Linked DNA regions of Drosophila melanogaster. The protein of the gene in region 1 interacts with the protein of each later gene in a pairwise test. Each region holds a gene or a part of one and is shown on either strand. Other genes may lie near its edges.

The links.
Region 2: the proteins of Nha1 (region 1) and CG3309 interact in a two-hybrid assay, tested with the Drosophila melanogaster proteins (one large-scale study listed by BioGRID).
Region 3: the proteins of Nha1 (region 1) and CG6443 interact in a two-hybrid assay, tested with the Drosophila melanogaster proteins (one large-scale study listed by BioGRID).

Annotation. Positions count from the first base shown.
Region 1 is NT_033779.5:6,868,686-6,872,441, forward strand, and holds the start of Nha1 (Na[+]/H[+] hydrogen antiporter 1), read right to left. Parts: upstream 1,705-3,756; 5' UTR 1,449-1,704; intron 1-1,448.
Region 2 is NC_004354.4:5,327,655-5,331,410, reverse strand, and holds the start of CG3309 (uncharacterized protein), read left to right. Parts: upstream 1-2,063; 5' UTR 2,064-2,141; coding exon 2,142-3,242; intron 3,243-3,301; coding exon 3,302-3,756. Other genes in the region: XRCC1, read right to left, coding at 1-1,197, 1,259-1,309.
Region 3 is NT_033779.5:10,727,174-10,730,852, forward strand, and holds CG6443 (uncharacterized protein), read left to right. Parts: upstream 1-1,804; 5' UTR 1,805-1,929; intron 1,930-2,007; 5' UTR 2,008-2,066; coding exon 2,067-2,135; intron 2,136-2,198; coding exon 2,199-3,029; 3' UTR 3,030-3,125; downstream 3,126-3,679. Other genes in the region: CG6431 (uncharacterized protein), read left to right, coding at 432-580, 661-1,095, 1,179-1,383, 1,440-1,503; CG17118 (uncharacterized protein), read left to right, coding at 3,126-3,209, 3,267-3,458, 3,525-3,679.

The DNA.
Region 1 (3,756 bases):
GGTCCCCCTCCTTAAAATTGGTTTCACGATTGCTATCGGATCGCGAAATATGTGTGTGATTACTCCACTTACGAGTGTTTCATTAACAGACCCACTCCACTCGAATCGAATCTCAATCAGCCATGAATGTTGTTTCTATATAATCGGCTACAGATTCGATTTCGATTTCGCTTTCAATTTCCCCCGAGCCCCCTTCCTTCGAGCCATCGAGCCCTCTTTGGATTTCAGTGTGTCTCAGGTGCTTTCCACTGGGGGTTTATCTGCCTCAATTGCGCGAATTGTTTATTAAAACATTATCAATATCTGTAATCCACAGTCGGATCCACTTCACGCTGTTCTACACTCGTTTCGTCTGGCTTTGGCCTTTGTCATTAGTTCCATTGACAACTGCTAATTGTGGTAAGTGTTTATTGGCCCAATTTTCGAGGCATTCGATAAGATTTGGCCCGTGTATCACTCTTCTCGTTTAATTATGCATGTATTTCCTTTATCATGGTGAGACTTCCTCTGCTTATCTAAACCGCACAAATAATGTACTTAAATGATGGGTATACTCGAGATACTGTTTCGGATAGAGGTTACACATTTTGGTAATATTTACTGCTATCATTAAGGTGTTTTTCGGCACGTTTTGATCTGGATCATTGTTTATTCTATTGCAGTGCACAGAAAAGAATTAAAGTTGAGTATTAATTCATATTAATATATAAGTTATATTACTTCGTATCAATGCAACTTCAAAAGACGGAAACTAAATTTGTATCTTTAAGTAACTGAAGTATCTAAAGTAGAGCAATATACGTGCTATATATCTGTGTATGACATGACAGAATCAAAGTTGAAACACTCATTATATGTAGATCTAATTATTCGAAACGTAGATGCAGAAACCTTCTCTTTGATTGTGATACAATGTATATAATATATAATACAATGCACAACCGTTATACGCACTGCGCATTTCCTTGGCAATGTGATTGATTTTATTGATACTGATACGGAATTAATGCGTTCTGAAACTCGTTCACAGCTTACATTAAAGGGTTAACCCGCTTGAGATGTTCGCTTAATAGCATTTAAATGATGATACAATTGGTAGCACTGCAAATTGATTTTCCTCATGCAATAAAATATTCTTATGCATTCATTTCGAGTTCATTAAGAAATCATTCACATTTCATTAATTTCGGTCAATATGCAAATGGTCAGCAAAACGTAAATAAAGTGAAATATATGAGCAAAATTAATAACAGCTCAAAGTCGCAAGCGGGTGTTTTAATCATAAACGAATGTAATTTGCATTTGCACTGTTTTGGCTGCTTTGGCATTTCGATTGGAGTCGCCATAACAAAAAAAAAAACACGTACAGCCAGAAATGTGAAATATCTTAAGTATTTACTTTATTACAGCCACTGAACTCGAAGATGGGAATGAGTGGCAAAACCTACTTTGTATTCACACGGCGGCCAGGAGGAAATTAGGCAACTTTCGTTGATGTTTCAAATCTGAAAGCACTTTGTCACTTTTCGTTGTCTTCGTGTTTTAATCTTCTTCACTTTTCTCGGAATGGCGCCAGCACTCGACTAATTAGAACTCAGTTAGTCGTTCTGCGTTGACTTTTACTTTCATATTCACAAAACGCGGACCACGGAGGCGGAAAACTGTGGCGAAGTCGAACCGCAACCTGGCCAAAAGCACGACTAAGTCGCTGCAAATTCCTGCCAGCGTTTTATAGGCACACACACACACTCACGTCTGTAAACGCGATCGGAAGAATTGAAGCGAATCGAATTGAAACCGCTCTCTTGCTCACCCATTCATTCACGCACTCACTCACTCACTTGCTCACCTACTCACTCTCCGATTTGCGAAGAATTGCCCGAAGTTATGTGGCTGTAAGTCTTATCTTCTTGTATGATCCACCCACCTGAAAATAAAGGTGGCCCAAAGCCCGCTCTTCTGGTAGAAGAGGCGTAAATCAAGGCGATCAAGCAGCCAATGGTGTAAGCCAACTATATAGCTTCATGTGGCTACTGCACTGCCGCGAGTATATCACGAACTTAAGGCCCTCTCGAGTTGTGCGACCCATAAAATGGTCAACAAAATAATTTCCTCAACGCTTCCCAGGCCATAAATTCAGTTGAGAATTTACCATTGGCAAATGCAATGTCATAACTGGTACTCTTGGCGGTGTGAAAATACATTGTTTATATGGCCCTATATGTGACACGAAAAAGTATGCAATAAAAAATATGATTGATGACCCGAGATAACGATTGGTTTTTCTTTAATTAGGCAGTCTTGAGAAGCTCAATCAATCGGAAATCGAAAGCGCTTGATGGCTTTATGGCCACGTTAATCAATTCGTATTGATATGGTCGCGACGTTTCGTTTGCCCATCGTTTGATGAACTTTAGAGGGGATTTGGTAATTGAGTCACATTGAATGCATGGCGGTGGAAAAGTCAATTAGTTAATTGGCGGTCTAATTGACTTGACTTTACAGTGCTCGTCATGCGTATCAATAATACAAATAGCTTCTAAATATCTAAATACTTGCCCAAATATTATATTAGATTAATCATTTGGCGTAAACAAACACCGATAAAGATGTCACTTTGTTTATTTACCATTTGCATAAAACCCAAATGTATGATTTTCGTTTATTTACCTTACCGAATTTCAACTGACAAATCGCGATACACACAAAACTGATAAACGTGTTCTCTCGCAGACAATGAATAGTATTCCTTTTGATATCTGCGCCATAAACCGTGCTTATGTGTCCATAAACTCCTCAAAGATTTCCACTGCGATTCACCTGGGTAAACTAACTTTGATTAGTGCAATATAAGTACATGATATGCGGTATTTGGGGAAAACAATGTTATAATGAAATCAAATAGTGCAAATAGTGCTTACAATTGATAATTTGGTTAAAATGATTATTGTTATTTTTAGCCAGAGATTAATTTGATATTTCTGACATTGCCCGCATAAAGGTATGCCGGCATAGCATTAAAATTGATTTCACTGCTGCCATTTAATATTTATTGTAAATTTGTTTATCTAATTTCCGGCAATATATTTACCTACTTTCTATCTATGTGCATATTGTTTTCGCAACTCATACCAATTTGCAGCCAAAACGGCAAATGGCCGAATCGAATTCAATTCAAACAATCCGCAAAATTGCAGAAATGTATGAACTTTTCGGATGAAACTTCTCTAATTATTTGAGTGGCAAACGGCCAATGTAAAATGCGTCATGACATCGAGGTGGCTGATGAAAATGCGGCTGGGTCAGGGATTCGTGCGGGGTCTCCATAAATTAACTTTGCCAAAATTACAAACATTTTCCCATTTCCCCCATTAAAACCCAAATCACGGTGCCACACACCAGCGCATACATACATACATACATACATACCCGTGTTGGCTGGACGGGAGTGTAGCAATTTCAATTAAAGCTAATTACAACCAATATCGACTGCCAACAATGTCAAGCATCAAATGCGACGAAGCCACCCAAAAGGAGCCAGCTCGATTGGATGGCTGGCTGCTGGCTGGCTGGCTGGCTGGCTGACTGGTTGGTTGGATGGAAGCCCGGCTAGTGTCATGTCTGGGTCGTGCACTGCGAGAAATTGCGGTGATCCGCTCACAAGGTGTCACTCAGTGTCGCCAAAGGTCCTGCCTGTGGGCGACGGTAAGTCCTGCGCGCGGGGTAAAGCGATGCCTGAGTAAGTTTTGTTGTCGT
Region 2 (3,756 bases), on another chromosome or scaffold:
AATCGCTGTGTCCACGATCTTTTGCTTTTTGGCGGGCGTTACTGCGACTGCGGTGGGAGATGAATGTCGCTTTTGCGCAGTTGGGCGCGAACTTTCCTTGGAATTCGAGGTGTCCGAAGATCTGTGATCATGCTTAGATTTCTCCTTCCTCCTGGACTTCTCCTCCTTCGAATGCGATCTTTCCTCTTTTCGTAATTGCTCTTTCTCTTCTTTGGCTGTGGATTTTTCTCTGGAGGACGAATTGTGCTCCTTTGCCGGTGGTTTGTCTTCTTTGCTGATTGACTTATCCAAGGAGTGCCTGCTTGACTTTTTCTTTCTGCTCTCCCTCTCCTTTTCCTGCTCCAATCGCCGTCGATCCTTGTCCGCCTCCAGATGCTTGCTCAGCCGTTGTTTCTTTGCATTGACCTCAGCGTCCTTCACGTCCTCATCATCGTCGCCGAACAAGAGTGAAGCTCGATTGCGATCCAGGGGCTTGGCATCCAATGGCGTCGGAGAAACCGATCGCAGAGCATTGAGAACTGGTGATGGCGACGTCGAGGTTTTGGGCGATGCAGCCAGGCTAGAAACCTTGCCAGCGCTCAGCCTTCGCAGGGCCGTGGAGCCGGCGTCCCGAATGGCCGCTGCTGTGGAGGTCGCACTGATCGCGGGCGACTTGTGCTGCGTCTGCTTCTTCCAGCTGTGAAATCTGTTCACTTGATTGTCCGTTTCCGAGTCCGGCGACTCCTCGCGCAGCTTAAAGGTCCCGAATTGCATAACACCCTGCGGCACTAGGGATTTGACCTTAGGCGCCGCAGCAGCCACTACATGCACCTTGACGAATGAGAGCCCGTATGGCACATGACGATTGAAGGGCTGTGTGCAGACTATCTGAAGCAGCTTCCACTTCTCCGGCAGTGCACTCTCCGCCAGCGAAGTGCTACTGAAACAGCGAACGCGATTTGGATTGCTGGAATTCTTGCTCTCGATGGGCGTCATAAACGAACTGGATAGCAGCAGCTCGCGGAAATCGTCCGCCTGGCAGCCTGTTCGACTGACCAGCACCTCGATGAAGGCGGCATGTTCGTTGCCAATATCGATGCCCGTAATCTGTTGCGGCTCCTCGAACTCCAGCACAACGTATGCGGATTTCTCTCCCGGCGCCTTGGTTCGCCACTTCTTGCCGGCGTTTTCCTTGAGCAGATTCGCCGCTACGTGCACCTGGCCAGCGGGATTGCATAGTTATATAGATGTACATTTGTTATATAGGAGCATTACTCACCGCATCTTCGCTGCTCACTTCGCGTACGGACTTGAAAAGCGCAATTGGCATTTCGCAAGTCGCATGAATTTACACTGAGACGCCGATGATTTTGCGGCAAATTGCTTTGCCGACAGTTGCGCCTGCGATTAAACTGATTGTCGAAAGGGAATTGCGTCGGTTGCATGTGTTGCCATGTGCGCTAGAATGTTTGTTTATTTCTTTTATCTTTTGATGATGGGCGGTGAATTATGCTGATTTTGCTTAACCAACTATTTCAAAAATAAAACCTGTATTGTGTGCACTAATTGCCCATCACTAGCTGTGCTGACAGCCTAGCTGGATATCGCTAAATATGGTCTCTTCGTCACCATATCAAAATACTAGCTAGTTAATTGGTTAACCAACACTGGTCACTTCAATTCAACTTTATTTCATTACGTTTATTAAGAAAATGCTAAAGATCTGTTTTGTTTGCAAAGGTTATTATAATTATATTATATTATATTATTCATTATATTCATTATATTATATTATATTATTCAAGAGATTAAATCGCCAAAGTGGCAGCGCTGGTGAAAAGCAAAAAAAAGGTGAAAGTTTTGAAATGATAAATTTGCACATAGAGATGAGCAGTGATTGCAAACGGTGACAAGAAACAAGATAAATATTTAGTAATATATAAAAATAATAACAAACCGTTAAGAAAAGCTAACGAACAGTATGACTGCGCTAATTTATTATATTTAAAAACAAATGATTGTTTATTAGCAAATACTATCGCATTAAATGGTGACTGGCGATAATAACGGTAACTGCAAGCAGTGAACAACTATCGCCCTTCCCTGATTCCCCTTGTCAATGTCGCTGGCAAATAAATAAATAAATATCAACAAAATACAGAATGAGCGCGGATGCGAGAATCAAGCAGATGGCGCCATCGCTGGACACCACCGAACGGGAGAGGGAGCACCAGAACGTGGATGCCACCAACTCGAACTCGGAGCCCAGTGCCAGCGATTGGGTGAACTTCTCGCAATGGATGCACTGCTTCTGCGTGGTCACCTTCGATCTAAATCTTGGGCAGGCGCTGGAGCACGTCTATCCGCCGGCTTTCATGCCCAGCGACCAGGAGGTTAGCAACATTTGCTACATGGCCTTCCCGGACTCAAATTCCGGCTGCATGGGCGACACCAAGTTCCACATGCGATTGCGCTGCACAACGCGTCGGGATTCCTTGCCGGGCTACAATGCGGAATGCTCGCCGGCGCTGCGACAGGATGGCTCCCACTACTGGGGCTTCGTCTACTTTCGCCAGAAGCGGGACGCGAATCTGCCGCGTGGTTACTTCCAGAAGAGCTTTATAATCATTACACGACTGCCGTTCTTCAATCTGTACTACGACATACTCTCCCAGCTGGCGCCGCGCTACTTTGAGGAGGGCACCGACGTCCTGCGTCTGGCCAGCGAGCAAATTAATCGCCAGTGGCCCGGCCTGCGAGTGGGTAAGCCGCTCCAGCTGCCTCTGCTGGATTGCAGCTATCAGATCTGCATACCGCGGACCAGCAGCAGTCGAAAGTCGACGGCCGATGGAGGCATCGCAGGTGGTGCGGTGGAATCGCCACCAGCCATGGCTGCTTGCCCGGCAGCCAAAGTGCTGGCCTCCGTTAATGAAATCGAACTCTTCCGCTCCCTGGACTTTGTCATGGAGCAACTGTACACGCTGTGGGAGCTGGTCATCACCGCCGAGCCCATTGTTGTCGTTGGCACCTCACCCGCCGACTGCTCCCACATGGTGCAGACCCTTCTGGCCATGATTGCTCCGCTGGAGTATTGCGCCGAGGCGCGTCCCTACTTCACCATTCACGACAGCGAATTTCGCGAATTCACACAAGAGTGCAGCAGCAAGACCACACTGCCCGCCTGCATTTTGGGCGTCACGAATCCGTTCTTTGTGAAGCTCCTGAAGGATTGGCCGCACATGCTGCGACTGGTGGACAACCAGGTGAGTGTCCCAATCCCAGTTAACGCAATACAAAATATATCCGTCTTGCTCGTTTTCAGAAGAACATGCAGCAGCAACAGCATCTGCTGCTGGGCCAAAAACACGCAAGGAACATCGCATCGGCCACATCATTTTCCAGTTCAACGGAACTCGGTGGCCGTATAGCACTGAAATCGAACACCAATCTCAATGGCAGCTCCAGTTCCAGCAATGGCTCGGGCGATGCCTCGTCCGCGGGCCTGCACAGTAAATATAGGCCGTACCTGAAAAAGGACAAGGCGCTGATCAAAAAGGTGCTGCTGGGCATGAAGACCAAGCGGCCGGAGCATGTGCAAACCGCACTGATACGACGCCATCTGCTCGAGCTGACGCAAAGCTTTATGATACCACTGGAACGGTATATGGCATCACTGATGCCGCTGCAAAAGGACATCAGTCCGTTTAAGTCGGCGCCGAATGCCAACAGCTTTAAGCTGGATGACTTTCTGGGCACGCTGGAAACCGCTGGGCCGCA
Region 3 (3,679 bases), 3.9 Mb from region 1:
ACGAGCCTGCTGATTGATGGTTGTATAACAGCGGGAAATGACCGGGCTGACACCTCCGTTCTGGGAAATCCGCGAAGGAATACAAATTGCTTTTTCTGCAACTATTTAGTCTCGTTAAGAATTTCTGGAAACCGTTTGGCTTGTAATTGGTGATGTATTTTAACTCATAGTTGTAAAGTCTATAATTTGATCCACTTTAAATGAATTTTTCATTATTACTAGCTTGATATTCAATTGAAAATCTTTCAAGATTAACTAAAGTTAAGAGTTAGCATGCCCAGATCTGTGCTTGCTGCACGAGAGATTTCTACGGTTTTATACACACATGGAATTTCCATAGTTCTATTTAAATGTATGCACAAAAAAGAAAACAGAGATATCTGCAAAATACTATTCCATTATTATATAGTGGCTTTTTACAATATTTTCAGCAATGGACCGCGTCGTGGAACTCCTTTAAATGTTAAGAACCCAATAACGCTTTATAAAGGTGGATTTAGCAAGCACCGCGAGACTGTCTTCATAATACACGGATTCAATGGAACTGCCATAGATATTCACCTGCAATTCCTTCGAGATGGTGAGTGCATCTATCTGTTAAATTATTATATTCTACAATATTAAGCTATAATTTATATAACTTTAACTCTCTCTTTTTAGCTTACCTATCCCGCGATTTCAATGTCATTACAGTGGACTGGCGACCTTTGACCCGCTATCCATGCTACCTCCACTCGCTTATAAACACCAGGTTAACTGCGCAATGCACCGCCCAGATCTACGCCTTCCTCACCCACTACGGAGCTGTCCGGGAACGGATCACTTGCGTGGGTCACTCCCTGGGCGCCCACATCTGCGGCATGATCAGCAACCACCTGACGCGGAAACAGTATCGCATCATTGGATTGGATCCCGCCCGGCCTTTAATTGAGCGCATGAAGAGCAACAAGTTTCGGTTGTCGATCGATGATGCCAACGTCATTCAGGTGCTCCACACCAATGCCGGTTTCCTGGGCCAGGAGGATAACTCCGGGCATCTAAACTACTGTGTCAACGGTGGACGCATCCAGCCGTTCTGCAAAGGAAATCCAATCAGTAAGGCTAAATTAAAGTAGTTTAATACCCTCTTTCTCGGAAAAAGAAATCATATATAAATAAATGTGCTCTCTATCAAACAGGAAAATCGCGATGTTCGCACTTCTTGAGCATCTGCTACTTGGCCACTGCCACATTTAAACACAATAAGTTCATGGGAGTACCGTGTCCCAATGGCTGCCTGAATCTTAGTGGATCCAAGAGGCTGCCAGTGAGCGGCAAAGTGAATCCCTTCGAGTTCGCCTCGCTGATAAGGGAGTACCACATAGGCAACGATGCCCCCGATGAGTAAGTTTATTAAAAACCATATATATAATTTATAACCAATTTCATATTTGATTTAGCGCCCGAGGCTGCATTTGCATTGATGTGCCGTATGCCAAGCACTGCCCCTTTACGGATGCGTAGGAGCTGGTCTTCAGTAGTTTGTAATTCTATGATAAAGCTGTCGATAATAAATTCAAGTAATATTATTTTTTTGGTCTTTGGGTATTTTAGTAAATATGAAGGAAAAATGAGAAATAATTACTTACCTTCTACTACACGTAGTAGGAGTTTATTATTAAAATGTTGCAAATTCCAAATTTAGTTTTCGAAAATTTAAAAATCAAATTCGATATACTAAGAGTTTGGTTCACCGTAATATACCAAAATTTATATCGAATATATGATATCGATGTTTGCAATCGTCATTGCAGTCGCTACAGCTGTTTGGTGTTTTACCATCTCTATGGACATTGTGTATATAAAACATTTGTTATTGCTCATAACAGAATTTCTCCATTTACTACAACCTGAAGATATATAGTTATTTATATCGTTAGTTTATTTAAAGTAAGTAAGATACTTATACCGTGTAAAATGTAAAACAATTGAAAAATATCATAACCCATTGTAAATCGCATATTATAGTTTGCCCAACAAGGAATTCCCAGGAAATATATTGTAATTCTTGAGATAAATATATAATCATGGGTTGCGATGGAGGAACTATTCCCAGGCGCGATGAGCTGGTGCGCGTGAAGCAAAAGCCAGAGCAGGTAAGTCTATTCGATTGGAGCACCTCCTAGCCAGACCGAAATATCATTTCTCGAACCCTACAGAAAGACAAAGATGCGGAGAGGGAGTTCCGTTGGCGCCACTGCACCTTGACCCAGCAAAGCCTCCAGGAGCCGATCGCCATGTGCGGCATGGGTAGGCTCTATTCCAAGCAGAGCGTCATTGAGCGACTGCTGGAGAAGGAACCGATGCCAGAGACAGCTGCGCACGTGAAGAGCATGAAGGACATTCGCCAGCTTAATCCCACACCCAATCCCGCCTTCACCGAGGAGGACAAAACTGAGGGACTGCTGGACACACGACATTCTCCTTACATCTGCAAGCTGATTGGCCTGGAGATGTCCGGCAAATTTCGCTTTGTGGCCCTTTGGAGCTGCGGATGCGTTTTATCAGAGCGTGCCTTGAAACAGATCAAAGGCAGTGTGGCTAGCACTTGTCCGCTGTGCCAGGCTGCCTATAGCGTTGAGGACGTGGTGGTCCTCAATGGCAACGAGGAGGACATGGAGCTCATGCGGGTCAAGATGGAAATGCGTGCGGCCAAGCGTAAGTCCTCCAAAAAGGACAAGAAGAGTGCCAAAAAGGTGGAGGTGAAAGCGGAGCCCGCAGAGGAACAGGAGCCAGTGGCGTCCACATCCAAGGCTGCAGCCGCAGAGAAGCCCACTACAAGCACAAAAACCAAGGCGGTGGCGCCGGTCAAACGACTGGGCGCCGTTAATGCAATGCAGGATCCCGAACTGAAGCGTCTCAAGAGCGACTTCAGCGTGGCCAAGGACCCGAAGGCCAGCGATGTTTACAAGTCCCTTTTCACCTCCCATAAAACCGAAAAGGACCAGGAGCGCGCCCACTGGGTCACCTATAATCCATTCTACAATTAGTCTAGATTTCGTTTAAGTTTGCTGTGTTAACTCAGTCACATGTCCATAGTTTGATCGTTGAAACCACACACACAGTTTCAAAATATACAACCGACAATGTATCGTGCAGCCTATCAAAAAGGTTTCCTTACCGTGCTTTACAGCGTAGGCAGTTCGCCCCTGAACAACTGGTCTTCCTATGTGAGTATCTGGCATTCAATGCAGCTGCCTCGTCTCTAGAAAGCATCCTTGTAACAGACCAAAAACGGGTATATCAAACGGATCTACGATGAGGACATCAAGTCCCTGGTGCTCGAGATAATGGGCTCAAATGTGTCCACCACATTCATACACTGCCCCAGCGAATGCAAGGAGCAGCTGGGCATCAAGTTGCCCTTCCTGGTGCTCCTTATAAAGAACATGCACAAGTACTTTTGCTTCGAAGTTAAGGTAAGGCCAAGTGCTATGAATTTATAGTAAACTCTGGACTGCACAATGATGACAATATATCCTTAGATTCAAGACGATCAGCGCTTCATGCGCCGTTTCCGAGTGTCCAATTTCCAGAGCAAGACCTCCGTGAAGCCCTTCTGCACGGCGATGCCGATGGGCATGTCACCGGGGTGGAACCAGATCCAGTTTAACCTGGCCGACTTCACGCGCCGTGCTTA